Anolis sagrei: one gene and its partners. The protein of the gene in region 3 purifies or fractionates together with the protein of the main gene of each other region. This does not show direct contact. Links are inferred from orthologs where the notes say so. Each region holds a gene or a part of one and is shown on either strand. Other genes may lie near its edges. The genes, in order: LARP1, MRPL3, YBX1 and CHCHD2.

What was found.
Region 1: the proteins of YBX1 (region 3) and LARP1 purify together in Homo sapiens (co-immunoprecipitation; 3 studies listed by BioGRID and IntAct, with this or other methods). This does not show direct contact. The link is inferred for Anolis sagrei from reciprocal best matches to the Homo sapiens genes YBX1 and LARP1.
Region 2: the proteins of YBX1 (region 3) and MRPL3 purify together in Homo sapiens (affinity purification with mass spectrometry; 3 studies listed by BioGRID and IntAct, with this or other methods). This does not show direct contact. The link is inferred for Anolis sagrei from reciprocal best matches to the Homo sapiens genes YBX1 and MRPL3.
Region 4: the proteins of YBX1 (region 3) and CHCHD2 purify together in Homo sapiens (affinity purification with mass spectrometry; 3 studies listed by BioGRID and IntAct, with this or other methods). This does not show direct contact. The link is inferred for Anolis sagrei from reciprocal best matches to the Homo sapiens genes YBX1 and CHCHD2.

The regions. Positions count from the first base shown.
Region 1 is NC_090022.1:81,925,976-81,933,507, forward strand, and holds the start of LARP1 (la-related protein 1), read right to left. Parts: upstream 3,019-7,532; 5' UTR 2,828-3,018; coding exon 2,332-2,827; intron 1-2,331. UniProt on the Homo sapiens protein: RNA-binding protein that regulates the translation of specific target mRNA species downstream of the mTORC1 complex, in function of growth signals and nutrient availability.
Region 2 is NC_090026.1:79,266,306-79,273,345, reverse strand, and holds the start of MRPL3 (large ribosomal subunit protein uL3m), read right to left. Parts: upstream 3,022-7,040; 5' UTR 2,963-3,021; coding exon 2,853-2,962; intron 1-2,852.
Region 3 is NC_090033.1:17,323,931-17,331,224, reverse strand, and holds the start of YBX1 (Y-box-binding protein 1), read right to left. Parts: upstream 3,019-7,294; 5' UTR 3,004-3,018; coding exon 2,583-3,003; intron 1-2,582. UniProt on the Homo sapiens protein: DNA- and RNA-binding protein involved in various processes, such as translational repression, RNA stabilization, mRNA splicing, DNA repair and transcription regulation.
Region 4 is NC_090031.1:27,717,301-27,724,263, reverse strand, and holds the start of CHCHD2 (coiled-coil-helix-coiled-coil-helix domain-containing protein 2), read right to left. Parts: upstream 3,014-6,963; 5' UTR 2,870-3,013; coding exon 2,820-2,869; intron 1,201-2,819; coding exon 951-1,200; exon of another isoform or gene 831-950; intron 408-830; coding exon 263-407; intron 1-262. UniProt on the Homo sapiens protein: Transcription factor. Binds to the oxygen responsive element of COX4I2 and activates its transcription under hypoxia conditions (4% oxygen), as well as normoxia conditions (20% oxygen).

The DNA of each region.
Region 1 (7,532 bases), on a different chromosome or scaffold from region 3:
GGTCTGGGCAAACTTGGGCCCTCTGGGTGTTTTGGGATTTCAACTCCCACAACTCCCAGCTGTTAGGAATTGTGGGAGCTGAAGTCCAAAACACCCATGCCTGCACTAGCATGTCCTCAAGTCCTGATTTTATTTATGCGAAATGGTGAGCAGGTGACTGCTGTTACATTCACACTGAAGTGAGCATAAGCCTCACACAGCTTATCAACCCTACTCACAAAATGGCACTGCCCTCCCACTGAACTCCAATTACAGTGGTGTGCTCTGGGGTATGGCTCCATGACTCCGGTTGATACATGGATGATGAAGCGGTTAGAAAAATGATGTCCCTTATACAAAATGGGCAAAGCAAGGGGTAGTATTTTTCAACCTGTGGGTCATTGGATCCGTGGATAGGGAGGGCAGAGTATAACAAACTAGGGCCTTTCCACACACTCAGAGTATCAAGACAGAAAATCTGCTTTGAACTGGGTTATCTTGAAGGATCACTACAATCTGAGCCCACACTGCCATATGTATATATTCCAGTTCAAAGTAGATAATGTGGGATTTTATTCTGCTATTCAATCTGAGCCCACACTGCCATATATTCCAGTTCAAAGTAGAAAATGTGGGATTTTATTCTGATATTCAGTCTGAGCCCACACTGCCATATATTCCAGTTCAATGTAGATAATGTGGGATTTGATTCTGCTATTCAGTCTGAGCCCACACTGCCATATATTCCAGTTCAAAGTCGATAATGTGGGATTTGATTCAGGCCCTAGGTAAATAAAAACGACTTTCAGTGTTAAATACTGACTCAATAGAAACAAAATGGAAAAGCCCTGTTGAGTTAACCTACATAGGGCTAAGCCCACGTGGACGTTTGGAAGACCTTTGTCCTGCATTCACCTCCTTTCCCTTCCCCCCAAGACAGGAAGGGTGGGAAGGTGGGGGGGGGGGCAGGGCGCGCGGCCCCGCTGCGGGAAAACCGCCCTCCCCGCAAAACGAACGGCAATACGTTACAGTTAGAAGTCGGCAGCCCACGCGGAAAGCGTTAGCTGAGACACTCGCCCAACTGAGAGGCCTAGCCGTTCCAACCAACCTCCCCTCCTCCTCCTCCCGCCCTTGACGTAGGCTTCCCTGCCACCTCCGCCCTCAGAGTCGAAGGGGCCCTAAAGGGGGGTGGGGAAACTCTCCCCCCCCCCCAGGATTTGGGACTGTGGGGGGGGGGGGAGAGCAGAGAGAGAAGCGGCTACCAGGTCCAAAGAACAAGCCAGGCCCCGGCTATATGAGAGTGTTCGTCACATGCTCGCTCCGAAAGAAAACCACGTTGCCTTTACTGCAGAGGAATGCCGGGAAAGGGAAGAAAAGGGAGGAAGGAAGGAAGGGAAAGGGGGAGGGGGGAGGAGAAGGACGCTCAGAACGCACAGGCGCGCGCACAGGGACAGAGGGGGGGGCGCCCCACTGGGCGGAGGAGCGTTAGGAAGGAGGCGACGGAACGCTCAAACCGCCGCCTGCACGCGGACGCCTCGAGCGCTGCGGAGGGAGGAAAGGAACCAAGGGAGGGAGGGAGGGGGGAAGAGAGAGGGAAGGAGGGAGAACTGCCGACGCCCCCTCCCTCCCTTTACTTAAAGCCGCAGGAGGAAGTCGCCAAGGCACATGGCCCTCGCGCGCAGACCCGCCCGCTCTCGCCCCAAAGCGCAAAATACACTCATCGTGTCTCCAAAAAGCGCAAAATACACCACACACACACACAAAATGGATTGGAAACGAATTGCAAGCCCCTTCCCTCCGCTGTCGTGGTGCCTCCCCTCCCCCTCTTCTTCTTAGTCTCCGCCCCAACGCCATTTAACGAGGGCTCTACCTATATTTAAGGAAAGGAAGCAGCGTGGGGAATAAAAGGGAAGGGAGCAGGAAGGGGAATCCCCACGCGCTCGTTAAAACGTGGTGGGACAGCTTAACCTCTAATGGCGAATCTGGGAGGAGGAAGAGGAGGAGGAAGGGCTCCCAAACACGAGGAAAGGGGGAGGAGGAGGAGGAAGGGGGCGCTGTTCGGGCTGCGAACCCGCCCCATTCTCTCTCCCTCCCCCCTCCCTCCAAGATGTCTGAATCACGCCAAGCCCGCATGGCCCCATCTCCTCCCCTTTGGCTCCCACTTCTGATACTCTATCAAAAGATTTCCATAAGGGTCGCGGAGGGGGAGGAAGAAGAGGAGGGCAGGGTGGGCGCCGCCGGACAAAGGCGGGGTGGAGTTTGACGGGCGAGGGAATGTCACCATCTTGCAGGAGGAGGCCAGGGAGGCTCTTATTTGGCTGTCTTCCCCCAATCGCCCCCGTGTGGACCCACCTGGAGGCGACTGCCCGTTGAGGGCGACGAGCGCGGCGGGGGCGTTCTTGGTCCAGGGGTTCACCTTGGGCGGCGGGGCCTCGATGAACTCCTTGCGCCCGACGCCGCCCTCCTCGCCGCTGGAGCTGCTGTTGCTGCTGCTGGTGGTGGTCTCGCTGCTGCTCCGCTGCTGCAGGAGGTTCTCCTTCTCCTGGTTGTTGCTCTCCTCCTTCTGCTGCTTGATGCTGGGCGGCTTCAGGAGGGCCCCGTTCCGGCGCGGATGCGGCTCGCCTTCCTTGCTGCTGCAGCAGCTGTCGGGCCCGCCGCCCTCCTTGCCGCCGCCCTCCTCCTCCTCGCCGCCACCGCCGTCGGCCTCCTTCTCTCCGCGGGGCGCGAGGCGCTGCTCTCCCTTCTCTCCCGGGGACTTCTTGAGGACGAGGCCGCCGCCCCCGCCGCCGTGCTCCTCGGAAGGCAGCAGAGGGCTGGGCGGCGGGAGGGGCTCCACCTGGGTCGCCATCTGCGCCCCGGAGCCGGCCCGCTCCCCCTTCCTCACTTCTTCCTTTCCTTGCTTGCTTGCTTCCCCCTCCTCCCTCCTTTGCAAGCCCGCCTCGCCCGAGAGCTTTCTTTCCAACCCTCTCTCGGTGAAAGGGCGCAGCGGGAGCCCCAAGACGCCGGCTTCCTGCTCTCACGCCCCCCTCCCTTTGAAGCCCAACCCCCGCCTCGCCGCCCCCCTCCCCTCCCGCTCCCCCGGTTCTCCTCTAATGCCAATGCCCCCGCCGCCGCAGCAGCAGCAATATGGAGAAGCAAGGAGACCACGCGACTGGCCCGGCCAGAGCGAGCGCGCGCGCGCAGCCAGCTCCGCCCGCGTTATCCAGGCCCGGGGAAGGAGGGAGCGCGCGCGCATACAACACACGCACACGCACAGACGCCTTCACGCAGGCAGGCGCGCGCACACACGCACGCTCACGCTCTTTCCCTTTCGCATGACGAGCGCGCCCAGGAGAGGCGGCGCGAGCCCGAGCCCCGGCGGGGCCGGCGCGTGCTGGGTGTCATAGGGAGACGCTCCTTAAAGGGGCAGCGTCGCCGCTCGGGAAGAGAGAAAGGTGGTGGTGGTGGAGGAGGCGGAGCCTTGCCTTCAAACTTCATCGCTGCCAAAGGGCCTTCTGGAGCGAAGTGCTGGCTTTCACCTCCACGGAGGGCCTACTGACTCTGATAAGAGAACCAACAGAACAAAGCCCAAAAGGGGGGAAAAAGGCCTCCCCCTGCGGAGCTGGAGAGTTCTATTTGACTTCCAAATCAAACAAAAACACGGACAAGGTCGGCCTGAAGCCACCACTACCCGATCGATCGCGTGGGGCCTGTTTCCTTGGAAGGAGCCCACCCCGCTCCAGGCAGAAACATGTGCTCAGGGTCGCAGGGCCGGGTTGGTGCTCGCTCGTTCTCTCTCTCTCTCTCTCGAGTACCAGCCTGCGAAGGGAACGTGGAGCAACCACGGCGGAATTAGCGCAGTTTGACACCGCTTTAACTGCCAGGACTCGATGGTATGGGAGCCCCGGGAGTTATAGTTTATTGTGGCGGACAAGGCCAAGCATCTCACAAAACTAAAGGACCAAGTGAGGAAAAGATGTGGGTAGCCTAAGCTGCAGTGGGCTCAGTCTACTGTTCGTCTCTCAGCGGGTAGGCCTCGGCCTGTGGGAAGGAGGCAGGGCCTACTCTTCTTTCAGCTCTAGGCTCCTCTAGTTTTGTGTTGTCTTGACAGCAAAAGAATGTTTATACCGAGTCTTTTGACCAAAGAGAGTTGCCTCCATTTGAATCCAAAGTTTTCCCTCCCCTTTGGTGAGATACCTTTTGGCAGAGAAGGTTAGAGACCTCGTAAAACTACAGCTCCCAAGATGCCAATAGCATTAACATAAAAATTCTAAAGTACAGATGTGCACATAATAATAATAATAACAATAAACCCTACCATCTCCCGCAGGCAGGACTCGATGCGGCTTACAAGAGGCCGAGCCCAAAGTACATCATTAGTAAAAACAACAAGAACAATACAATGCAAAAATAAATAACTCATAACAAAGCAGAACATTAACAAAAAACACGACAATATTAAAAACCTGTGGCAGGGCCAAATGTAATGGTTAAAATTCTAAAAATGCTGGGCATGTCCAGGTGAGGTAGAATGAATATTTTGGAAATAAAAGGGTGTGCAGACAATTCTAATTCTCTCATAAAGTGCATTAGGGACATCCTGTAGTTTCCTCAACCTATCTTATTTATATGTGTGGTATATTTTTTTTCTGAGAGAACCTCATCACACGTCAATCCACTTTAAATGCTGTGACTGCCTCCTAAACTACAAACCCCAGCATTTTGCAGGAGGCAGTCACACCATTTGAAGTGGGAAAATGCTCAAGTGTGATGAGACCCACATGCTTCTCCCCTACGTTTCACCCATACATACAGCCATCCCTCCTGACTGGGGATTTGAATATGGGCCATCCCAGGCCTAGCTATTGGACTGCCTCGCTGCCTATTCAAGTTACATGGCCTTTCGCAAAGACTGCTTCCAAGGAACTTACACTGTAAATGTCAAGCAGTGCAGGGGGGAGGAGAGAGGAGAAAGGAGAGAAACCGGCTAATTCAAGACACCACTGACTAGAAATCAGCAGTGGTTTCTGAACTCTTGTATACACAGCAATATGGACGTATGTGTCAGTTTCAAACAACAGACATTTCAGGTCAAACAGCCCTGAGGATAGATCCAGCATAGCTGTATGCAACACGTTTATTTTTTTAATCAGAAACTTTTTAATTAAGAGATTTCTTTTCATATTACCTTGTGTCTGATGTGGTAAAATTGTGTGCATTTTTTTCATGGCAAAGCTAGCGTCTGAAACAATATCAGGAAGAATACACAGAAATGTATCACGATGAGCAAGAAATTTACATTATTCTTCCAGACACACCCCTGCCAAGAGAGGGATGCAACATAAAAAGTGGCACCCCAAATGTAGATGTATTTATTCTTATACAAAAATGAAGGAAGGTTTGCATTAGTAGTCTTGACAGAGGCACTATATATAGGATTTATATTTCGCCCTTCTCACCCCAAGGGGGACTCAGGGTGCAGCACAACATATATACGGCAAACATTCAATGCCGAAACAAAATAAACTATAAATATACACAATATACACAAACACTAAAATCAGTTATCTCTAAAATCAATTGTTTAAACCCATTTCAGATCAGCCATACTAGAGCTCTCCAGCTGAGAGGTCAAAATAGTCTTCCCTAAATTGCAAATCCCAGGATTTCATAAGAAGGAACTATGGTGGTTAAAGTGTAATTGGCAGTATGACTATGTGTAGTATGAAAGGATTCTTTATGTGACCGTTTCACCTCTTGTGTCCATAATGAGTTATGATAACACTTAACAAGTAAACTTTTGTAGGCATCACTGATCACCATAAACAAGGCCTGAGCATGACTTGGCATTTTTGTTACTTATATGAACAAGCAAACACATGGGATGTCTCATAAATGACAGGACCCCGTTTTTGTTAGTAAAAACCTGAAAAGAAACATATAAAGCAAGACAATGGCAATTCTTAAGCATTTTTTTCTAATATGCAAAAAAAACAACAACAGGTAACTTGCAACTCAGTGAGTGCCCAGCCTCCAATAACACCTGACATACGTACTATTTCCCCCCCCCCTTTTTTTAAATTACACCGTAAGCCCCTTCTACACTGCCATATAATCATTATCAAATCAGATAATCCACATTATCTGCTTTGAACTGGATTATCTGAGTCTTCACTGCCATATAACCCAGTCCAAAGCAGATAATCTGGATTTTATACAGTGTGTAGAATTTGGATTTTATATAGCCTCAGGCCCTTTCTACATTTATTTATTTATTTATTGTATTTATACCCACCCTTCTCATCCCGAAGGGGACTCAGAGTGGCTTACAGAACACACATATGGCAAACATTCAATGCTGATTATACAATTAACAAGGACAGTCAGCACAAACAGAGGTAAAGCCCATTTTACTCATCTTATTTCTGGCATTTTGGACTCCAGCCATGGGGAGGAGGATGCTGTCTTTCCATCATCCATGCCAAGGAGATTTCCTCCAATCAATGTCCTTAAGGGTGCCTTAATTGCCTCCCTGCTAAAAGCGGTACCTATTTTATCTGATTACATTTCTGCTTTCGACCTGCTAGGTATGCAGGTGAGCTGGGGCTAATGGCGGGTGCTCAACCCCAACATTCTGATTTTTCTGCAGCACAGCAGTTTAGCCTGCTGTACTAAGCCTGGCCCTTGTATCTACGCTGTCCTTATATCCCAGGATTTAACCCAGGTTATCTGCTTTGAACTGGATTATACAGTATGAGTCTCCACTGCCACATAATCTGGGATAAACAGTTAAACTGGGATCAGATCCTAGTATATAGAGCTCTGTGGAAGGGGCCTCAGAAACAGTTTCTGTTTTCTTAATTCCATAGGATTCAAGAGTAATCTATAGTGTGACCATAAGACACATATTATAGTAGAGCCTTCTTTGCTGGAAATTTTGAAGGAGGAGTAAGCACTTCCCAGAATGTTGTTTTAAAAAACTGCCATTCTCTGTGGCTGCCATTTCATATGTATTATAAGTGCTATGAGTGTAGAATGGCCAGTTCCATATGCCTTTTGGTAAAGTGAAGAAAACACACATCCAGCATTCCATTTTATTCATAACTTGAGAAGCAATTGTTTCCTCTTGAATTAAGATAGAGGCAACCCTCTGGATCCATGGTTTCAGCTTGATTTTTTTTTAAATTTTACATTTATTCACATAGTTTGAAGGTAATTTTATACATTTATTTATTTATTTATTTCAATTACTTTTACCCCGCCCTTCTCACCCCAAGGGGGACTCAGGGCGACTTACAGACGAAGGCACATAATTTTGTGCATGAAACAAATGTTGTGCACATTGAACTGCCAGAATGTAAAGAGGTCACTATCTCAGCCACCCATGGAGATAATTTTAGATTTTGGAGAATTTCAGTTTTCCTGATAAAGGATACTTACTCAACCTATAATGCCTTTATAATAGCTTGTGATCAGAGCCACCAAGACCTCATTCTCACTTTATAGTAAAACTATGCCAAGAGCATAACATATCAGCACGCATGGCATTTCTCACATAATTGAATGTGAGAGAG
Region 2 (7,040 bases), on a different chromosome or scaffold from region 3:
TGTACATTGTAATCCGCCCTGAGTCACCTGCAGGGTGAGAAGGGTGGAATATAAATACTGTAAATAAATAAATAAATCTATGACAGGCATCCTCAGAGGTTGGGAGACCTCACAACCTTTGGGGATGCCTGCCATAGATGTAGGCAAAACATCAGGAGAGAATGCTTCTGGAACATGACCATACAGCACGAAAAACTTACAGCAACCCAGTGATTCCGGCCATGTAAGCCTTGTATCTCCAATCCTTGTTTCCACAGCAAGCTATTTTTCTTTCAAAACCCAATGCTCACAGGGACAGAAAGTGAGGTGAAATCTTCTGAAGAGGGTACACAGTCAGCAAAACAAACACCACAAGGGGTGAATTAACTGATTAACCACTTCATGAGTAAACCAGAGTTTTCTTTTTGATCTGAAGCATGTGTTGGGAATGGCGGGGTGGGGTGGGGTAGAGTGGGGGTTAAGAAACCTTAGCCACCTCTGGCTACAGGCCTGGGTGTTAACCCCATCCTATGTTATCCAAAGCTAATATAGGTATCAATTTGGCTGGAAGTACACTTAAAGATGTACTTGTTCTGACTTGCCTACAAACTGAACTTAAGAACAAACCTACAGATATCATCATGTTCGTAATTTGGGGACTGCTTGTAGTGATCAGCACTGCAAACCCACTTTCTTCAATATTGGTTTGAAAATGCCTGTGATAGGAATCATCTGAAGACACACAATAACTGTTGGGGAAAAAACCTCTTCAGCCCCTGAATGGAAAAACAAAGTACCCTGACTCAGGGCCCTTCCGCAGAGTTATATAACCCAGAATATCAAGGCACATAATCCCACAATATCTGAACTGGGTTATCTACACTGACATATGAAGTCTGATCTGGCCTGGGTGGTCCACGCCTTAGTCACCTCCAGACTGGATTACTGTAATGCACTCTACGTGGGGCTGCCCTTGAAGATGGCTCAGAAATTTCAAATGGTCCTGTGGGTGGCAGCCAAGCTACTTATTGGGACGACTTACAGGGAGCGGTCAACCCCCTGTTTAAGGAGCTCCATTGGCTGCTGTTCATTTTCCGATCCCAATTCAAGGTGCAGGTTCTGACCTACAAAGCCCTAAATGGTTTGGGACCCGTCTACCTGCATGGCCTCATTTCTGTGTACGAACCCACACGATCTCTTTGTTCATCTGGGGAGGTCCTGTTCTCGCTCCCACCTCCCTCGCAGGCATGATTGGTGGGGACGAGGCAGAGGGCCTTCTCCATGGTTGCCCCTCTACTCTGGCACTCACTCCCCAAGGATATCAGACAAGCCCCCACATTGGCAGTCTTTAGGAGGAGCCTGAAAATGTGGCTTCCCTGAATAAAGGAAACAATTCCCTGCAAATACTCTGAGAAGCACTTTAATTACCTGTTGGGTTGCTCTTTACTTTTGATTTAAAACCCTCCTAATAGATACATCCTCTGTTCATGTCCAGCATTTATTTTTAAAGATTTTAACTATTACATCTCGCCCAGCCATAGGTTTTTAAATTCTTGTGTGTTATTGTCTACTTGTGAGATATATTAATTGTATTGTTTATTTTGTTTATTGCTTGTTGTTTTTATTATTGCTTGATGTTTCTGATGTGTTGTTGGGCTTGGCCTCATGTAAGCCGCTCCGAGTCCCTTGGGGAGATGGTGGCAGGGTATAAATAAAGTTATTATTTATTTATTTATTTATTTGCCTTACTTATATACCGCTGTTCTCAGCCCGAAGGCGACTCACAGCGGTTCACAACAAATACGAACAGCAAAAATTCAGTGCTACAGTATAAAAACAGCTAACAACCTAACACATTACACAATTAATAAACAGTTACTACAATACCCATTCACTGTCGTCTCATCATTAAGAACATGTTCCAGATTCGTCATCCACTGTTCCATTCCAGTGTTCATTAACCAATCATTGCACTAATTATTTGAACGCCTGCTCAAACAGCCAGGTCTTCACTTTTTTGCAGAATACCATTAGAGATGGTGGTAGTCTAATGTCCATAGGAAGGGCGTTCCACAGCCGAGGAGCCACCACTGAGAAGGCCCTATCCTCTCGTTCCCGCCAGCCGTGCTTGAGAAGCAGGCGGGATCGAGAGCAGGGCCTCCCCGGAACATCTCAAAGTCCTGGTGGGTTCATAGGCAGAGATGCGGTTGGATAGGTAGCTTGGGCCGGAACCGTTTAGGGCTTTAAAGGCCAACGCCAGCACTTTGAATTGAGCCTGGTAGCAGATCGGTAGCCAGTGGAGTTGGCGCAACAGGGGGGTTGTATGCTCCAGTATACTCCAGTTTAGAGCAGATGTGGGATTTTATTCAGCTGTGTGGAAGGGGCCTTAGGATGCCTCTACACCAGGCATGGTAAACTTCGGCCCTCCAGGTGTTTTGGACTTCAACTCCCACAATTCCTAACAGCCTACCGGCTGTTAGGAATTGTGGAAGTTGAAGTCCAAAACGCCTGGAGGGCCAAAGTTTACCATGCCTGCTCTACACTGCAGAATGCCTTTAGTTTGAGACCACTTTAAGCGCCATGGCTCAACGCTGTGGAATCTTGGAAGTTGTTACTTGGTAAGGCACCAACCCTCTTGGGCAGGGAAGGCTCAAGTTCTTGTGAAACTACAACTCCCACGAGCCAGGGCAGTTAATAGTGGTGCCAGACTGCATCGATGCTCCCTGAAACAGCACTCTGTTGGGATTCAAGCGCCTTGCACACCAGGCTTGCTTCCTTTTCCCTGCTTTCAAAAGGCAGGAAGGCAGAGAACCGACAAGGCCTCCACGGAAGAGCCAGACCACCCGCTCTCAAGGAGATAATAAACCCCCTACCGGCTCCTCAGCCCGGCCTCTGAGACTTCCACTGCCGCACGAGCCGAAGCCAGGGCCCCTCTGGGCAACATGTGCCTCCCCAGGCGGCACAACAGCCCCGCGGCCGCCATGACAGCACCGGCAGCAGCGCTCGTTGCCGAGGAAGAAGGCCGTCCGACTCCCAAAGCCTTCCCTCGTCGCACGCGAACGTTAGTTCCGGGCGCCTTTGGTTCCTATCAGCCCCATTCTGCGGTCCCGGGCAAACATTGAACGGGGTTGGACTTCAGTTCCCAGAAGCCCTTGCCAGCTTGGCCAATACTGAGGAATTCTGGGAGCTGAAGTCCAAAAAACCCCCTTGAGGCCCGAAACTTGAAAAACACTGCTTAAGAGTACAAAAGCCTTCCAGTATTGTCTTCAGCCCCATCCACACTGTCATAAAACATTATCATCATCATCATCATCATCATCACTTTATTTCTTAATTAGTCGCTCTCCACCAAAGTGCTCCGAGCGACTTACAATTTAAAATAGCTTATACGCAATATAAAACATTCAACATAAAAACATTCAACATCATAAAAACATTCAGCAGTGACTATGGCAAAATTTGATCCGGTTACTTAAATGCACAACCAAACAGCCAAGTCTTGAGCGCCTTTACAAAAGGTCGCAACTCCGACATTGCTCTAATATATGGAGGCAATGTGTGCCGTCGTGCCTGGGGCTATAGAGAAAGAGGCATGGACGTGACTGCTTTCCCTAGGGGATTGCTTCTTGCCCTCACTTTAGGGAAACTGGAATTCCCAAGGACCAGAACACAAGTGACTCGAAATGGTGTTTATTGATGATAATTAGTTTTCTTTCTCAGGCACAAACTTTATGTTTCAACAGGGAAAAACACTTTATAACTCTAAAGCCCAGGGTCCTAGGAGTAATAAGCTGAGAAGCCTTTCCTGTTCCCTCTCTCTCAATGGCTATGGATGCCGGAGCAAACCACAACCCCAGTTCAGTGGCCTAAACTGAAGGACAAGACTTTCCTATGGTGCCAAAGAACTGGAATGAAGGTGCCTGAGGTCTTCGCAATTTCGTTCAGGAGGTTTGAACATAAAGAATAAGACTCAGGGGTCAAAACCTAAGAACTGGTAGTAAAAAATGCCTTGACCAGGGGCTTTGGGCCAAGCTTATGGACACGTCCATCCAATGAGTCTTTTACTGAGGTAAAAAAAGGTGAGGGAGAAACCTTCCCTTTCTCCCTTGGAAGGGGCGGAGCCTAAACAACTGAACTGGGGAAACAAACCAATTGGTGCACAACAACAATAAATTGACAGCTATAGTAACCAATGAAATTTAACTATACATGTACAAGGTAGACAGAAATAAAATGGCAGTTTAAAATCCTGCAACAAACAGTTCTAAATATATGAGGCGCCACACGCGCCGTCACACAATGAGTTCCACAGAATTGGAGCATAGATCGAAAAAGCTCTACGCCTTGTAGCTTCCAAATGTGCCTCCCTAGGACCCGGTATGTAGAGGAGATTTTCCTGGGTGGATCGAGGTGACCACTGATGGGGAAAAGGAATGAGGCAGTCCCTAAGATATAAAGGTCCTTGGCCATTTTGAGCTCCAAATGTCAGGATCATTATCTTGTAAGAGATCCGATGTTCTATTGGTAGCCAATGCAGTTGTTGCAGAATCGGTGTAATATGGGATCTTATAGATGATCCCGCTAGCAGTCTGGCTGCCACATTTTGAATCATCCGAATCTTCTGGGTTGTTGACTTCGGAAGGCCAGGATATAAGGCATTGCAATAGTCCAAACTCGTGGTGACTGTTGCGTGGATTACTGTTGCCAATGCTTCTACCGAAAGGTAGGATGCCAATTTCCTTGCCTGGCGAAGATTAAAAAAGGCCTGCTTACTTATGGCAGTGATCTGGGCCTCCATCGTCAGCGATGAATCCAACACAACCCCAAGGCTTTTAACAGTGGCAGACGGAACCAGAGTTTAATAGCATAACATTAGAAAATGTTGACCATTTCCGCTACCTTGGCAACCACCTCTCCACAAAAGTCAACACTGACACCGAAATTCAACACCTCCTGAGCTCTGCGAGTGCAGCATTTTTCCAAATGAAGCAGAGAGTGTTCGAGGACCGGGACATCTGTAGGGATACCAAGGTGCTTGTTTATAAAGCTATTGTCCTCCCACCCCTGCTATATACCTGTGAAACATGGACTGTCCACGGACGTCACATGCAACTCCTGGAACAATTCCATCTGCGCTGCCTCCGGAAAATCCTGCAAATCTCTTGGGAAGACAGGCGGACAAACGTCAGCGTGCTGGAAGAAGCAAAGACCACCAGCATTGAAGCGATGGTCCTCCGCCATCAACTTCGCTGGACCGGCAACATTGTCCGGATGCCCAACCACCGTCTCCCAAAGCAGTTGCTCTACTCCGAACTCAATAATAGAAAAGGGAATGTTGGTGGACAGGAAAAGAGATTTAAAGATGGGCTCAAAGCCAACCTTAAAATCTCTGGCATAGACACTGAGAACTGGGAAGCCCTGGCCCTTGAGCGCTCCAGCTGGAGGTCAGCTGTGACCAGTAGTGCTGTAGAATTTGAAGAGGCACGAATGAAAGAGTGAAAGAGAAACGTGCCAAGAGGAAGGCGCGTCAAGCCAACCCCGACCGGGACTGCCTTCCACCTGGAAACCAATGCCCTCACTGCGGGAGAAGATGCAGATCAAGAATAGGGCTCCACAGTCACCTACGGACCCACAAGAATACTGATCCTGGAAGACTATCCTACTCGGCCAACGAGGGATCGCCTAAGTAAGTAAAACATTATGTAATACGATTTTTGTTCCCAAGTTATAAAGGTCATTTCCTAATTGGTTCTATAATAAAACATGGACATGGTTTATTAAACTGCAGAAACTTTGGTTTTGCAGGACATCCTGCAGCACATTTTGCTATTAGTTTTTCAATGAATATCTAGGAAAATCATCTGATTCCTAATCCACTTTTCCACACATCTGAATAAAATCCCACATTATTTGCTTTGAAATATAGGAAGTGTGGCCTGAGGGCCCTTCCACACAGCCATATAATCCAGAATATCAAGGCAGAAAATCCCACAATGTTTGAACTGGAATATCTGAAGGCCCTTCCAGGCCCCTTCCACACAGCTGAATAAAATCCCACATTATCTGCATTAAACTGGAATATATGGCAGTGTGGACTCAGATAATTTATTTTTATTTATTATTTACAGTATTTATATACTGCCTTTCTCACCCCTGAGGGGACTTAAAGCGGTTTACACATAAATAATGGCAAGATTCAATGCCTTACGTTGAGCACTGATACGATGCCAATACAAGCAATTTTACAATAGTAAAACCACAATTAAACATAAATCAGAATTAAAACAATACATCAACAGTCTGGTTTGTTGTAGGTTTTTTTCGGGTTATATGGCCATGTTCTAGAGGCATTTTCTCCTGACGTTTTGCCTGCATCTATGGCAAGCATCCTCAGAGGTAGTGAGATCTGTTGGAACTAGGAAAAACGGTTTATATATCTGTGGAATGACCAGGGTGGGACAAAGGACTCTTGTCTGCTGGAGCTAGGTGTGAATGTTTCAACTGACCACCTTGATTAGCATATAATGGCCTGGCAGTGCCTAGAGCAATCTTTTGTTGAGAGGTGATTAGATGTCCTTGTTTGTTTCCTCTCTGTTGTTGTGCTGTTCTAATTTTAGAGTTTTTTTAAATACTAGTAGCCAGATTTTGTTCATTTTCATGATTTCCTCCTTTCTGTTGGAATTGTCCACATGCTTGTGGATTTCAATGGCTTCTCTTTGTAGTCTGACATGGTGGTTGTGAGAGTGGTCCAGCATTTCTGTGTTCTCAAATAATGTGCTGTGTCCAGGTTGGTTCATCAGGTGCTTTGCTATGGCTGACTTCTCTGGTTGAAGTAGTCTGCAGTGCCTTTCATGTTCCTTGATTCGTGTTTGGGCAATTCTGCGTTTGGTGGTCCCTACGTAGACTTGTCCACAGCTGCATGGTACACGGTAGACTCCTGCAGAAGTGAGAGGATCCCTCTTGTCCTTTGCTGAACGTAGCATTTGTTGGATTTTCTTGGTGGGTCTGTAGATAGTTTGTATGTTGTGTTTCCTCATCATCTTCCCTATGCGGTCAGTGGT
Region 3 (7,294 bases):
AGAAAGGAAAGAAGGGACCAAGGCGGAAGAGAGGAAAAAGAAGGGAAGAGAAAGGAAGAAAGAACAAAGAAGGAGAAAGGAAAGAAAGAGCCACAGAATAAAGCCAAACCCAGGCCAGAAGACATAGATGGAGGCCAGGAAACTATACAAAGTTTGGCCCTAAGGAAGAGAAAGAAAAGTAGGGAGAAGTGAGGAAGGAAGAGAAAACGTAATCATGTGCCACGGAGAAAAGCTAAACCCAGGCCAGCGGATATAGAGATATCTCTGTATAAATAAATAGATACAGAGAGAGGGCAGGAAACTGTTCAAATCCAAAGGTTGGCACAGCTGTGAGGCCTAGTAGTAGTAGCCATGCCCAGCTTCGAGATAAGGGAGGGAAGAAAGAAAGGAAAAAGAGGGAAGAGAAAGGAAAGAAAGGGGGGAAAGTCTGAGGAAAGTAAGGAAGAAGAGAGGAAGGCGGAAGAGGGAAATGGAGAAAGGAAAGAATGAGAGGGAGAAGTGAGGAAGGAAAAGAAAGGAAAGGAGGAAAAGTCTGAGGGGAGAAATGAAAGAAGGAAAGAAAAAAAGAAAGTGAGGGAGGAGTGAGGAAGGAAGAAAGAAAAAGGAGGGAAGAGAAAGGAAAGAAAGGGGAAAAGTCTGAGGAAAGGAAGGAAGAGAGGTAGGTGGAAGAGGGAAATGGAGAAAGGAAAGAATGAGAGGGAGAAGGGAGGAAAGAAAAGAAAGGAGGAAAGGAAGGAAGAAGAGAGGAAGGTGGAAGAGGGAAATGGAGAAAGGAAAGAATGAGAGGGAAAAGGAAGAGAAAGGAAAGGGGGAAAGTCTGAGGGGAGAAATGAAAGAAGGAAAGAAAAAGAGAAAGGGAGGGAGGAGTGAGGAAAGAAGGAAAGAAAAATGAGGGTAGAGAAAGGAAAGAAAGGGGAAAAGTCTGAGGAAAGGAAGGAAGAGAGGTAGGTGGAAGAGGGAAATGGAGAAAGGAAAGAATGAGAGGGAGAAGTGAGGAAGGAAAAGAAAGGAAAGGAGGAAAAGTCTGAGGGGAGAAATGAAAGAAGGAAAGAAAAAAAGAAAGTGAGGGAGGAGTGAGGAAGGAAGAAAGAAAAAGGAGGGAAGAGAAAGGAAAGAAAGGGGAAAAGTCTGAGGAAAGGAAGGAAGAGAGGTAGGTGGAAGAGGGAAATGGAGAAAGGAAAGAATGAGAGGGAGAAGGGGGAAGGAAAAGAAACGAAAGGAGGAAGTCTGAGGGGAGAAATGAAAGAAGGAAAGAAAAAGAGGAAGGGAGGGAGAAGGGAAGGAAGAAAAAGAAGGGAAGAAAGTCTGGGGAAAGGAAGGAAGAAGGAAGAGAGGTAGGCGGAAGAGGGAAATGGAGAAAGGAAAGAAAGAGAGAGAAGTGAGGAAGGAAAAGAAAGGAGGAAAGTCTGAGGGGAAAAGGAGGGAAGAGAAAGGAAAGAAAGGGGAAAAGTCTGGGGAAAGGAAGGAAGAAGAGAGGAAGGTGGAAGAGGGAAATGGAGAAAGGAAAGAATGGGAGGGAGAAGTGTGGAAGGAAAAGAAAGGAAAGGGGGAAAGTCTGAGGGGAGAAAGAAAAAGAGAAGGAAAGGGGGGAGGGAGGGAGGAAGGAAGAAAAAGGAGGGAAGAGAAAGGAAAAAAAAGGGGGGAAGTCTGGGGAAAGGAAGAAAGAAGAGGGGAAGGTGGAAGAGGGAAATGGAGAAAGGCAAGAATGAGAGGGAGAAGGGAGGAAGGAAAAGAAAGGAAAGGAGGAAGTCTGAAGGGAAAAGGAGGAAAGAGAAAGGAAAGAAAGGGTAAAAGTCTGGGGAAAGGAAGGAAGAAGCAAGAGAGAAATGGAGAAAGGAAAGAATGAGAGGGAAAAGGAAGAGAAAGGAAAGGAGGAAAGGTCTGAGGGGAGAAATGAAAGAAGGAAAGAAAAAGAGAAAGGGAGGGAGAAGGGAAGGAAGAAAAAGGAGGGAAGAGAAAGGGAAGAAAGGGGGGAAAGTCTGGGGAAAGGAAGGAAGAAGAGAGAAATGGAGAAAGGAAAGGATGAGAGGGAAAAGGAAGAGAAATGAAAAGGGGGAAAAGTCTGAGGGGAGAAATGAAAGAGGGAAAGAAAAAGAAAAGACAGGGAGTGAGGAAGGAAGGAAGAAAAAAGAGAGAAGAGAAAGGAAAGGGGGAAAGTCTGAGGAAAAGAAGGGAAAATAAGGGAGGAAAGGAAGAGCCAGAGAGAGAGAGAGAGGCCAAAGGCTGGCTCGAGATGTGAGGCCTAGCAGTAGGCCCGAAGCCTTTCTTCTGCCCAGATCCCGCGCACGCGCACATGGAGGCACACGCACACAAAGGCTGCGCGCGCACCGGCGGCTCCCCCCTCCCGAGACCCCGCCCTCCCCCACCTGGGCCACGCCTCCTTGCTTTGGCGCACGCGCGCTGGAGGCGAAGGGAAAACGAGGCGAGGCCGCCCCCTCCTCCTCCTCCTCCAACGGCTGCTGCACGCGCTCAGGGGCAGCCAGCCAATCAGAGGCGCGGGGGGCGCAGAGAGGAGCCAATGGGAGCCCGGGAAGGGGCAGGGCAGGCCGGAGGGGAAGGGGCGCGCCTGCGCAGTGCCTCACCGATGACCTTCTTGTCCCCGCCGGCAGGGGGCGCTGCGGAGCCGTGGTGGTGGTTGCTGCCATTGCCATTCCCGCCATTGCCGCCGCCATTGCCATTGTTGTTGCCGCCGCCTCCTCCGCTGGGCTTGGCTTCGGGAGAAGCGGGGGCGGCGGGCTCGGGCGGCGCGGCGGGCGGAGAGGAAGACGAGGAGGCGTTGGAGGGCGGCGGGGGCGGCGCCTGGGTCTCGGCCTCGCTGCTCATGGCGGCACGGCTCGCCCGCTTCTCCTTCGGATGGTGACTCGAGGGGCGGGCGGGCGGGTCTCTGCTCCCTGGCTCCGGGCTCGCTCTCCGCTCCCGATCCCGATCGAACTGGCCCACAATGGCGGCGCGCGAGGGCTTAGCCACCCCGCACGCCCCGCCCCCGCCTCCCCCTCGCCCCATTGGCCCGCCCCGCTGCCGCTCAAGCCGCCCGCCCTTCCCATTCGCCCGCTCCTCGCCCTTCCCCGCCCCCTTTCGGGGGCTCCCCCGCTCTGATTGGCTCCACGACCCTCCGTGGCTGCAGGGACTTTGATTGGTCGCTTTGCCATGCCGATCAAAAGGTTCCCCCGCTCTGATTGGCTCCACGCGTCCCTTGGCCCCGCCTAACAAAAAATCCCCGCTCGGCTATGGGCTTTTCTCGCGTAGTGACTCTTATTGGTCGGGGCTTAATGCCAATCAAAGCGGTCCGCTACTCTGATTGGCTCCACACGTTCCTTGGCCCCGCCTAACCAAATTTCCCGCTCGGCTATGGGCTTGTGACTCTTATTGGTCGACATATAATGCCAATCAAAGCGTCTCGCTACTCTGATTGGCTCTACACTTTGCTTGGTCCCGCCTAACAAAATTCCCCGCTCGGCTATGGGCTTGTGACTTATTGGTCGACACGTAATGCCAATCAAAGCGTTCCGCTATCCTCATTGGCTCTACACGTTGCTTGGCCCCGCCTAACAAAAATCCCCCCTCGGCTATGGGCTTTACTCCCGCAGTGACTCCTATTGGTCGGGGTTTAATGCCAATCAAAGCGGTCCGCTACTCTGATTGGCTGTACACGTTCATTGGACCCGCCTACCAAAAAATCCCCGCTCACTCGCGCACTGACTCTTATTGGCCGGCACGTAGTGCCAATCAAAGCGGTCCGCTGCTCGGATTAGCTCCACACGTCCCTTGGCCCCGCCTAACAAAAAATTCCCGCCCGGCTATGGGCTTGACTCGCGCAGTGACTCTTATTGGTCGGCACGTAATGCCAATCAAAGCGGCCCGCCACTCCGATTGGCTTCACGACGTTTCTTAGTCCCGCCTACCAAAAAAATCCCTCGGCCATGGGCTGTCCTCTTGCGGTGGCTCTTATTGGTTGGCATGCAATGTCAATCTAAGCGGTCTGCCGCTCTGATTGGCTCCAAGGGTTTCATTAGCCCCGCCTGTCAAAATCCTCGCTTGGCCATGGGCTGTTCTCCCGCGGCCACGCAATGCCAATCAAAGCAGTCCGCAACTCTGATTGGCTCCACGTCCCTTCTTGGACCCACCCGCCCATGCGCTGCCCTCCCGCGGTGACTCCTATTGGCCGTCGTTTTATGCCAATCAAAGGGGTCCCGCACTTCGATTGGCTTTGCCTGATAGGACCCACCTATACCAATTCCCCGCCTTGATTGGCTTTAGGTCGCTCCTTGGACCCGCCCATGCAAACACCCGCTCGACTATTGGCCGGCACGTGAAGCCAATCAGGGCACCCGCCACCCCGATTGGCTCGACGTTGCCCCTTGATCCCGCCCATCAAATCCCTAATTCGGCCACTCGATTGGCTGCCACCCATTGCCAGTCAGCCAATCCCTCCTCTCCCTGTGCTCTGGCCTTGGCTGCCCTCCCGCGGGTGATTCCATTGGGCGGCACTCAATGCCAATCAAGAGGTCCCACTGTCCCGATTGGCTCTTCCTCTCTCCTTGGCCCCGCCCGTCGAAAGCTCCGCCTGGAACCTCGCAGCTGATTGGGCGAGAGCTCCAACGAAGCCACGCCTGCGGAAGTTGGATTGCCACTGCTTCTCTGCGGGGAGCACGTGGCCACAGGCGGCCTTCCAAGCCATGCTTCCCTTGGCTCAGCCTCTCAAGGCCAGAGATGGGGAAACCAAGAATAATATAGAATAATCATAGAATAATAATATATAATAATAATCATAGAATAATGTATAATGAGAATATATAATAACATAATAATCTGTAACGAAAATATAATAAAACAATGAGAAAATATTGTATATAATATAATAACCTATAATTTTATATATTAACATATTTAATATATTAATATTTATAATATATAATATAATCTATAATAATGAATATAGCATAGTTACCTCCTGGGCCATCCAGTCCAACCCCATTCTGCCAAGAAGCAGGAATATTGCATTCAAATCACCCCTGACAGATGGCCATCCAGCCTCTGCTTAAAAGCTTCCAAAGGAGGAGCCTCCACCACACTCCGGGGCAGAGAGTTCCACTGCTGAACGGCTCTCACAGTCAGGAATTTCTTCCTCGTGTTCAGGTGGAATCGCCTCTCTTGTAGTTTGAAGCCATTGTTCCCTTGCGTCCTAGTCTCCAAGGAAGCAGAAAACAAGCTTGCTCCCTCCTCCCTGTGGCTTCCTCTCACATATTTTACATGGCTATCCTATCCCCTCTCAGCCTTCTCTTCCTCAGGCTAAACTCCTTAAGCCGCTCCTCATAGGGCTTGTTCTCCAGACCTTTGATCATTTTAGTCGCCCTCCTCTGGACACATTCCAGCTTGTCAATATCTCTCTTGAATTGTGGTGCCCAGAATTGGACACAATATTCCAGGTGTGGTCTAACCAAAGCGGAATAGAGCATGGGGAGCATGACTTCCCTAGATCTAGACAGTATATAATCTATTATAATGTAGTATAATTATAAAATGATCTATAAATACAATATATAAATTAAAATATAATGTAATATAATATATAATCTCTAATGAGTATAGTATAAAATAATAAAATAATTTATAATAATATTAATATATATACGTATTTATAATATAAATATAATATATTTGCAATATATAATGTAGTCTAGAATAATGAATATAGTATAATTATAAAGTAATGTATAATTATAATAACATAATATAAGCTATAATATCCATTGGCATAAACATGGGTTGAATACACTAACAGGGAATGGCACGGAGCAGCCAGGAAAAGGAGCCTTTAAAATCCCTCCCCTTTACTATCTATCTGTATTGGGAAGGCTTTCGTGGCCGGAATCATTGGGTTCTCGTAGGTTTTTCGGTCTGTCTGGCCATGTTCCAGAAGCATTCTCTCCAGGCGTTTCACCCACATCTATGGCAGACACCTGCCTCATAGGAAACCTGCTACCAAACAGGAGCTTCTTTGTTGAGTTCCAGGACCAGAGAAGCAGATGGCGGAAACAGAAGAACGGCCTGCCTCAGGGGAGCGTGCTTGCTCCATCCATGTTCAACATCTACACAAATGACCAGCCACTGCCAGAAGGGACAGAGAGTTTCATCTATGCTGATGATCGTGCCATCACCGCTCAAGCAGGGAGCTTTGAGATGGTTGAACAGAAGCTCTCTGAAGCTCTAGGTGCTCTTACTGCCTATTACAGGGAAAACCAGCTGATCCCTAATCCATCTAAAACACAGACATGTGCCTTTCATCTCAAGAACAGAGAAGCATCCTGAGCTCTGAAGATCACCTGGGAAGGAATCCCACTGGAGCATTGCAGCACACCCAAATACCTGGGAGTCACTCTGGACCGTGCTCTGACCTACAAGAAGCACTGCCTGAACATCAAGCAAAAAGTGGGTACTAGAAACAATATCATACAAAAGCTGACTGGCACAGCCTGGGGATCACAACCAGACACAGTGAAGACATCTGACCTTGCTGCTGAGTTACTCTGCTGCTGAGTATGCATGCCCAGTGTGGAAAACATCTCACCATACTAAAACAGTGGATGTGACTCTTAATGAGACATGCCACATTATCACAGGGTGTCTGCGCCCTACACCACTGGAGAAATTACACTGTTTAGCCGGTATTGCACCACCTGACTGACATCCGCCGGGAAGTGGCAGCCAATAGTGAAAGGACCAAGGCAGAGACATCTCCAGCTCATCCCTTGTTTGGGTATCAGCCAGCACGTCAACGACTTAAATCTAGACATAGTTTTATAAGATCTACAGAGACACTCGCTGGAACACCTCAGCAAGCAAGAGTCCAAAAGTGGCAGGCTCAAACCCAGCACCTCAACCAATGGCTGATACCAGATGAGAGACTCCCCCCTGGGCACACAGAAGACTGGGCGACTTGGAAGGCGCTGAACAGACTGCGCTCGGGCACCACGAGATGCAGAGCCAACCTTCAGAAATGGGGCTACAAAGTAGAATCCTCGGCATGTGAGTGCGGAGAAGAGCCAACCACTGACCACCTGCTGCAATGCACCCTGAGCCCCGCCACATGCACAATGGAGGACTTCCTTGCAGCAACACCAGAGGCACTCCAAGTGGCCAGATAGTGGTCAAAGGACATTTAGCCAGTTACCAAACTCACAAGTTGTGTATTTTTCTGTTTGTTTGCTTTGTTCTGTTAGAAATGTAATATAATGGACTGGCTGCTCTGACACGACAAATAAACCCCAGAGGTTGTGAGGTCTGTTCGAAACTA
Region 4 (6,963 bases), on a different chromosome or scaffold from region 3:
ATAATAATAATAATAATAATAATAATAATAATAGGCCAACAAGGAAGATGACAATGATAGTAATAATAGGATGGGAAGACTAGAGGATGGAAGTATTACTTCAGAGGGAGGCAATGGCATTCCTTGCCTGAGATAAAAATGCTACGGCTCTCCTGGAGTCATAGGTGGGACTAGATGGCCTCTGTGGTTGATTCTAGCTCTTTGGCCTTCCCCTCTGCTCTCTCCCCATTTTATGTTTGAATGACGTGAAAGCATGACTCACCATTGGCGAAGCGGCACTGCTTGAGGACCTCGCTGAACCCCTCGCAGAGCTTGAGGTCAGCCTGGTTCTGGGCGCATTCCAGGAACTGCTTCATCTCATACTGGCAAGGGCTGAACTGGGAGGACTGGGCCGCGGGCTGGGGCTCCTGGGGAACAGAGAAGACCATGACTCCCATTAGCAGATTCCCTCTATCGCTAATTAGCCCAAAGCCTTCAGAGTACTTTGAGCCAATTGAACACTGATTGTTGCAACGCATTTATTTGATCATGACACCTTGCTGGGTGGAAAGTGCCACACTGAGGGACAGTCTAGTTTTTATAGCCAACATTCTGTGCATGCGCACAACAGCTTTTTCTCTGAATTTTGCCTCATCCTTTCTCTTTGGTGCCTCTCTTATCACTGTCATCCTTTTTGCGGTACCTATTGATGTTAGGTTGAGCTTGTCCCTTGGCTTGAATTCTCCCCTCCTTTTGGGTCCTTGTTCCCTTTCGCTCCACTGAGAATACGAGACTTTTGACTGAACTGTATTTTGGCTGTTAATTTTTATTATTATTTTCCCTCATTCTAGTCCCTTCATTCCTCTCCCAAACACCTTGAGATCCAGGAAACAATACAAACAGCAACTGGAAAGGACATGCAGAAGTGGTCATAAGTATGAACCTTCTCTGGTCAAGGGAGCAGCTCTCACCTGGTATGTGATGTCGGGCCTGGCGACTTCAGCGCTACCTCCTCCTCCTCCGAAACCCCCAGTCATGGCATGGCCCAAGGTGTGCCCCACGGCTGAGCCCACCGCGACGCCAGCTGCGGTGGTGGCCATCTGGGCCATGAGGCCTGGCTGGCGGGGGGCCGGTGAGGCCATGGCTGAAGGGGGGGCGGCTGCAGGGACGGAAGAGCGAGCGGCTGGCGGAGGAGCCGAGCGCAGGGGTGGTGCAGCACGGCTACAAAGGCAAAAGAGAGAAAGCCATCAGGTCGCAGATCATTAAGTCTAGTCGTGTCTGACACTGGGGTATGGTGCTCATTTCCATTTCTAAGCCAAAGAGCCTGCATTGTCCGTAGACACCTTGTAGGTCATGTGGCCAGCATGACTGCATGGAGCGCCATTACCTTCCCTCAGAAGTGGTACTACTGATGTACTCACATTTGCGTGTTTTTGAACTGCTAAGTTGGCAGAAACTGGGGCTAACAGCGGGAGCTCACCCCCCCTTCCTGGATTCGAACTGCTGACCTTTTGATCAGCAAGTTCAGCAGCTCAGTACTTTAACCCACGTGTTTCCAGGGGCCCCATATAAATAGCTCACCCCATCTCCCCAAAGGGATTCGGATGGTTTACAACAAGCACCAATATAAAACACATAAACACAGGCCAGAAAACTCACAGCAATCTATTATTATTAATAGCAGCAGTAGTAGTAACATATTATTACAGAGGCTAGATGGTCAACTGTCGGGAATGCTTTGATTGTGTCGTCTTGCCTATCAGAAGGGGTTTGCACTGGGTGGCACTTGGGGTCTCTTCCAACTCTATTATTATTAGTAGTAATATTATTGGAGCCCTCGGTGGCACAGTGGGTTAAACCGCTGAGCTGCTAAAATTGCTGATCGAAAGGTCGCAGGTTTGAATCCTGGGAGCGGTGTGAGCTCGCGCTAATAGCACTTTTATGGATAGGTTCTTGTAGGTTTTTTCGGGCTATAGGGCCATGTTCTAGAGGCATTTCTCCTGACGTTTCGCCTGCATCTATGGCAAGCATCCTCAGAGGTAGTGAGGTCTGTTGGAAATTTCAGCAGACCTCACTGCTGGATGCTTGCCATAGATGCAGGCGAAACGTCAGGAGAAATGCCTCTAGAACATGGCCCTATAGCCCGAAAAAATCTACAAGAACCTAGTGATTCCAGACATGAAAGCCTTCGACAATACTTTTATGAATGCCTGACATCGAATTGTCCCAATCTGTAACCCGCCTTGAGTCGCCGTATGGCTGAGAAAGGCAGGCTATAAAGATTGTAAATAAATAAATAAAAGTGAGCTTACACCTCCCAACAAAGGATTCCCCCCCCAAGCAGTAACCAGCCAGGCTTTGAAGCTGCGAGACCATTCAATGCTAACCAAGCTGGCCAATGGCAACCTTCCCACTTGCCTCAAGCAGACAAAAGTTCTTTCTCCCACCCTGGACATCATTCCAGAGATATAGAAACCTCACTTGCCTCGTTTCCAACAGACCTCACAACCTCTGAGGATGCCTGCCATTGATGGAGGCGAAACGTCAGGAGAGAATGCTTCTGGAACATGGCCAGAAAGCCCAGAAAACCTATAGCAACCTATATAACATTACTTTAATATCAATATTATAATATATATATTATACTGTAAGATATAATATTAATATAATATATTATTGATATTATATAATATATATTAATAATAATATATAAAATAATATATTGTAATATAAGATATTATTATTTTTCACTCTAGGGATTGTTCTCCTCCAGAGAGTGGAATCAGTGCAGTGTGTGGAGTGGGGAACTACAAATCCCATCAGCCCCCGCGCTGCTTCACCTGGCAGGGGGCGCCATGCGGGAGGTCCGGCTCCTGCTTCCCCTCGGCATGGTGAATGAATCAAGAACCGCGGCCTTCCTTCGTAACTCTCTTCGTCCTCGCCTTTCACCACAGCGACCTCCTTACGCTTCCGTCGTCCCTTTTCTCGATCTTTCCTTCCGCTTCCGGCGGCGTGGTTGCGCGCAACTTCCGGTCTCCTCGCGCGAAGGTCGAAAAGCCGACTGCGCGTGCGCACTTTGACGGCTCCCCTCTCGAATGCTTTGTCAGTGCGCAAGCGCAGAACTTAATCTTGGCTTTGCAATGGTCAGAATGGGCGGAGCTATCCCTTTGGTAAAGGGCGGGGCGGTTTGTATGCTGCGCCTCATGTATGGCCCTTTGCCGCCCTCCTGTGGACACAGCGAGCACTGCACTTTTAGAGCGCCACCATAGGCTTCTATGCAGACTGCTGAGCCATAGGCAATGCATTGAGAGGCGTCTCTTTGCCGCCATCAAGTGGCCAAATCGAGACATTGCAGACATTCATTATATTATTAGGACACTTTGTATGCTGCGCCTCATGTATGGCCCTTTGCCGCCCTCCTGTGGACACAGCGAGCATTGCACCTTTAGAGGGCCACCATAGGCTACTATGTAGGCAGCCGAGCCATAGGCAATGCATTGAGAGGCGTCTCTTTGCCGCCATCAAGTGGCCAAATCGAGACATTGCAGACATTCATTATATTATTAGGACACTTTGTATGCTGCGCCTCATGTACGGCCCTTTGCCGCCCTCCTGTGGACACAGCGAGCACTGCACCTTTAGAGGGCCACCATAGGCTACTATGTAGGCAGCCGAGCCATAGGCAATAATGAATGGGAAGGCGTCTCTTTGCTGCTATCAAGTGGCCAAATCGAGACATTGCAGACATTCATTATATTATTAGGACACTTTGTATGCTGCGCCTCATGTATGGCCCTTTGCCGCCCCCCTGTGGACACAGCGAGCATTGCACCTCAAGAGCGCCACCATAGGCTTCCATGCAGGCAGCTGAGCCTGTAATAATGCATAGCGAGGCGCCTCTTTGCCGCCACCCAGTGGCCAAATCGAGACATTGCAGACATTCATTATATTATTAGGACACTATGTATGTATGTCAAAGCCATGGTATTCCCTGTAGTAACCTATGGATGTGAGAGCTGGACCTTAGGGAAGGCTGAGCGAAGGAAGATTGATGCTTTTGAGCTGTGGTGTTGGAGGAAAGTTCTGAGAGTGCCTTGGACTGCGAGAAGATCCAACCAGTCCATCCTCCAGGAAATAAAGCCCGGCTGCTCACTGGAAGGAAGGATACTAGAGACAAAGTTGAAGTCCTTTGGCCACATCATGAGGAGACAGCAAAGCCTAGAGAAGACAATGATGCTGGGGAAAGTGGAAGGCAAAAGGAAGAGGGGCCGACCAAGGGCAAGATGGATGGATGGCATCCTTGAAGTGACTGGACTGACCTTGAAGGAGCTGGGGGTGGTGACGGCCGACAGGGAGCTCTGGCGTGGGCTGGTCCATGAGGTCACGAAGAGTCGGAGACGACTGAACGAATGAACAACAACAACAACACGTATGCTGCGCCTCATGTATGGCCCTTTGCCGCCCTCCTGTGGACACAGCGGCCATTGCACCTTTAGAGAGCCAGCATAGGCTTCTATGCAGGCAATGCATTGAGAGGAGCCTCTTTGCCGCCATCAAGTGGCCAAATCGAGACATTGCAGACATTCATTATATTATTAGGACACTATGTATGCTGCTTGGAGGAAAGTGCTGAGAGTGCCTTGGACTGTGAGAAGATCCAACCAGTCCATCCTCCAGGAAATAAAGCCCGACTGCTCACTGGAGGGAAAGATACTAGAGACAAAGTTGAAGTACTTTGGCCACATCATGAGGAGACAGGAAAGCCTAGAGAAGACAATGATGCTGGGGAAAGTGGAAGGCAAAAGGAAGAGGGGCCGACCAAGGGCAAGATGGATGGATGGCATCCTTGAAGTGACTGGACTGACCTTGAAGGAGCTGGGGGTGGTGACGGCCGACAGGGAGCTCTGGCGTGGGCTGGTCCATGAGGTCACGAAGAGTCGGAGACGACTGAACGAATGAACAACAACAACAACACGTATGCTGCGCCTCATGTATGGCCCTTTGCCGCCCTCCTGTGGACACAGCGGCCATTGCACCTTTAGAGAGCCAGCATAGGCTTCTATGCAGGCAATGCATTGAGAGGAGCCTCTTTGCCGCCATCAAGTGGCCAAATCGAGACATTGCAGACATTCATTATATTATTAGGACACTATGTATGCTGCTTGGAGGAAAGTGCTGAGAGTGCCTTGGACTGTGAGAAGATCCAACCAGTCCATCCTCCAGGAAATAAAGCCCGACTGCTCACTGGAGGGAAAGATACTAGAGACAAAGTTGAAGTACTTTGGCCACATCATGAGGAGACAGGAAAGCCTAGAGAAGACAATTATGCTGGGGAAAGTGGAAGGCAAAAGGAAGAGGGGCCGACCAAGGGCAAGATGGATGGATGGCATCCTTGAAGTGACTGGACTGACCTTGAAGGAGCTGGGGGTGGTAACGGCTGACAGGGAGCTCTGGCGTAGGCTGGTCCATGAGGTCACGAAGAGTCGGAGACGACTGAACGAATGAACAACAACATGTATGCTGCGCCTCATGTACGGCCCTTTGCCGCCCTCCTGTGGACACAGCGAGCACTGCACCTTTAGAGGGCCACCATAGGCTACTATGTAGGCAGCCGAGCCATAGGCAATAATGAATGGGAAGGCGTCTCTTTGCTGCTATCAAGTGGCCAAATCGAGACATTGCAGACATTCATTATATTATTAGGACACTATGTATGCTGCGCCTCATGTATGGCCCTTTGCCGCCCTCCTGTGGACACAGCGGCCATTGCACCTCAAGAGCGCCACCATAGGCTTCCATGCAGGCAGCTGGGCCATAGGCAGTGATGAATGGAAGGTGTCTCTTTGCCGCCACCAAGAGGCCAAATCGACATTGTAGCCATTCATTATATGATTAGGACACTTTGTATGCTGCGCCTCATGTATGGCCCTTTGCCGCCCTCCTGTGGACACAGCGAGCATTGCACCTTTAGAGAGCCAGCATAGTCTTCTATGTAGGCAATGCATTGAGAGGAGCCTCTTTGCCGCCATCAAGTGGCCAAATCGAGACATTGCAGACATTCATTTTATTATTATGACATTTTGTATGCTGCGCCTCATGTATGGCCCTTTGCCGCCCTCCTCTGGACACAGCGAGCACTGCACCTTTAGAGGGCCACCATAGGCTTCTATGCAGGCAGCCGAGCCATAGGCTATGCATTGAGAGGAGCCTCTTCGCCGCCATCCAGTAGCCAAATCGAGACATTGCAGACATTCATTATGTATTATTAGGACACTGTATGCTGCGCCTCACGTATGGCCCTTTGCCGCCCTCCTGTGGACACAGCGAGCATTGCATCTCAAGAGCGCCACCATAGGCTTCTATGCAGACAGCTGAGCCATAGGCAGTAATGAATGGGAAGGCGTCTCTTTGCCGCCATCAAGTGGCCAAATCGAGACATTGCAGACATTCATTATATTATTGTTCATTCGTTGTCGTCTCCGACTCTTCGTGACCAGCCCACGCCAGAGCTCCCTGTCGGCATTATATTATTAGGACACTGTATGCTGCGCCTCATGTATAGCCCTTTGCCGCCCTCCTGTGGACACAGCGAGCATTGCACCTCAAGAGCGCCACCATAGGCTTCTATGCAGACAGCTGAGCCATAGGCAGTAATGAATGGGAAGGCGTCTCTTTGCCGCCATCAAGTGGCCAAATCCAGACATTGCAGACATTCATTATATTATTAGGACACTGTATGCTGCGCCTCACGTATGGCCCTTTGCCGCCCTCCTGTGGACACAGCGAGCACTGCACCTCAAGAGCGCCACCATAAGCAATAATGAAAGGGAAGGCGCCTCTTTGCCGCCACCCAGTGGCCATATAGACACATTGCAGTCTTTCATTATATTTTGGGAAAGGGAAGGAAGGCATGTTAACAATAATGACAGAAACCACTTTTGGTCTCTATCTATATAGAAAAGCAGGGCATCATAATCGTAATTA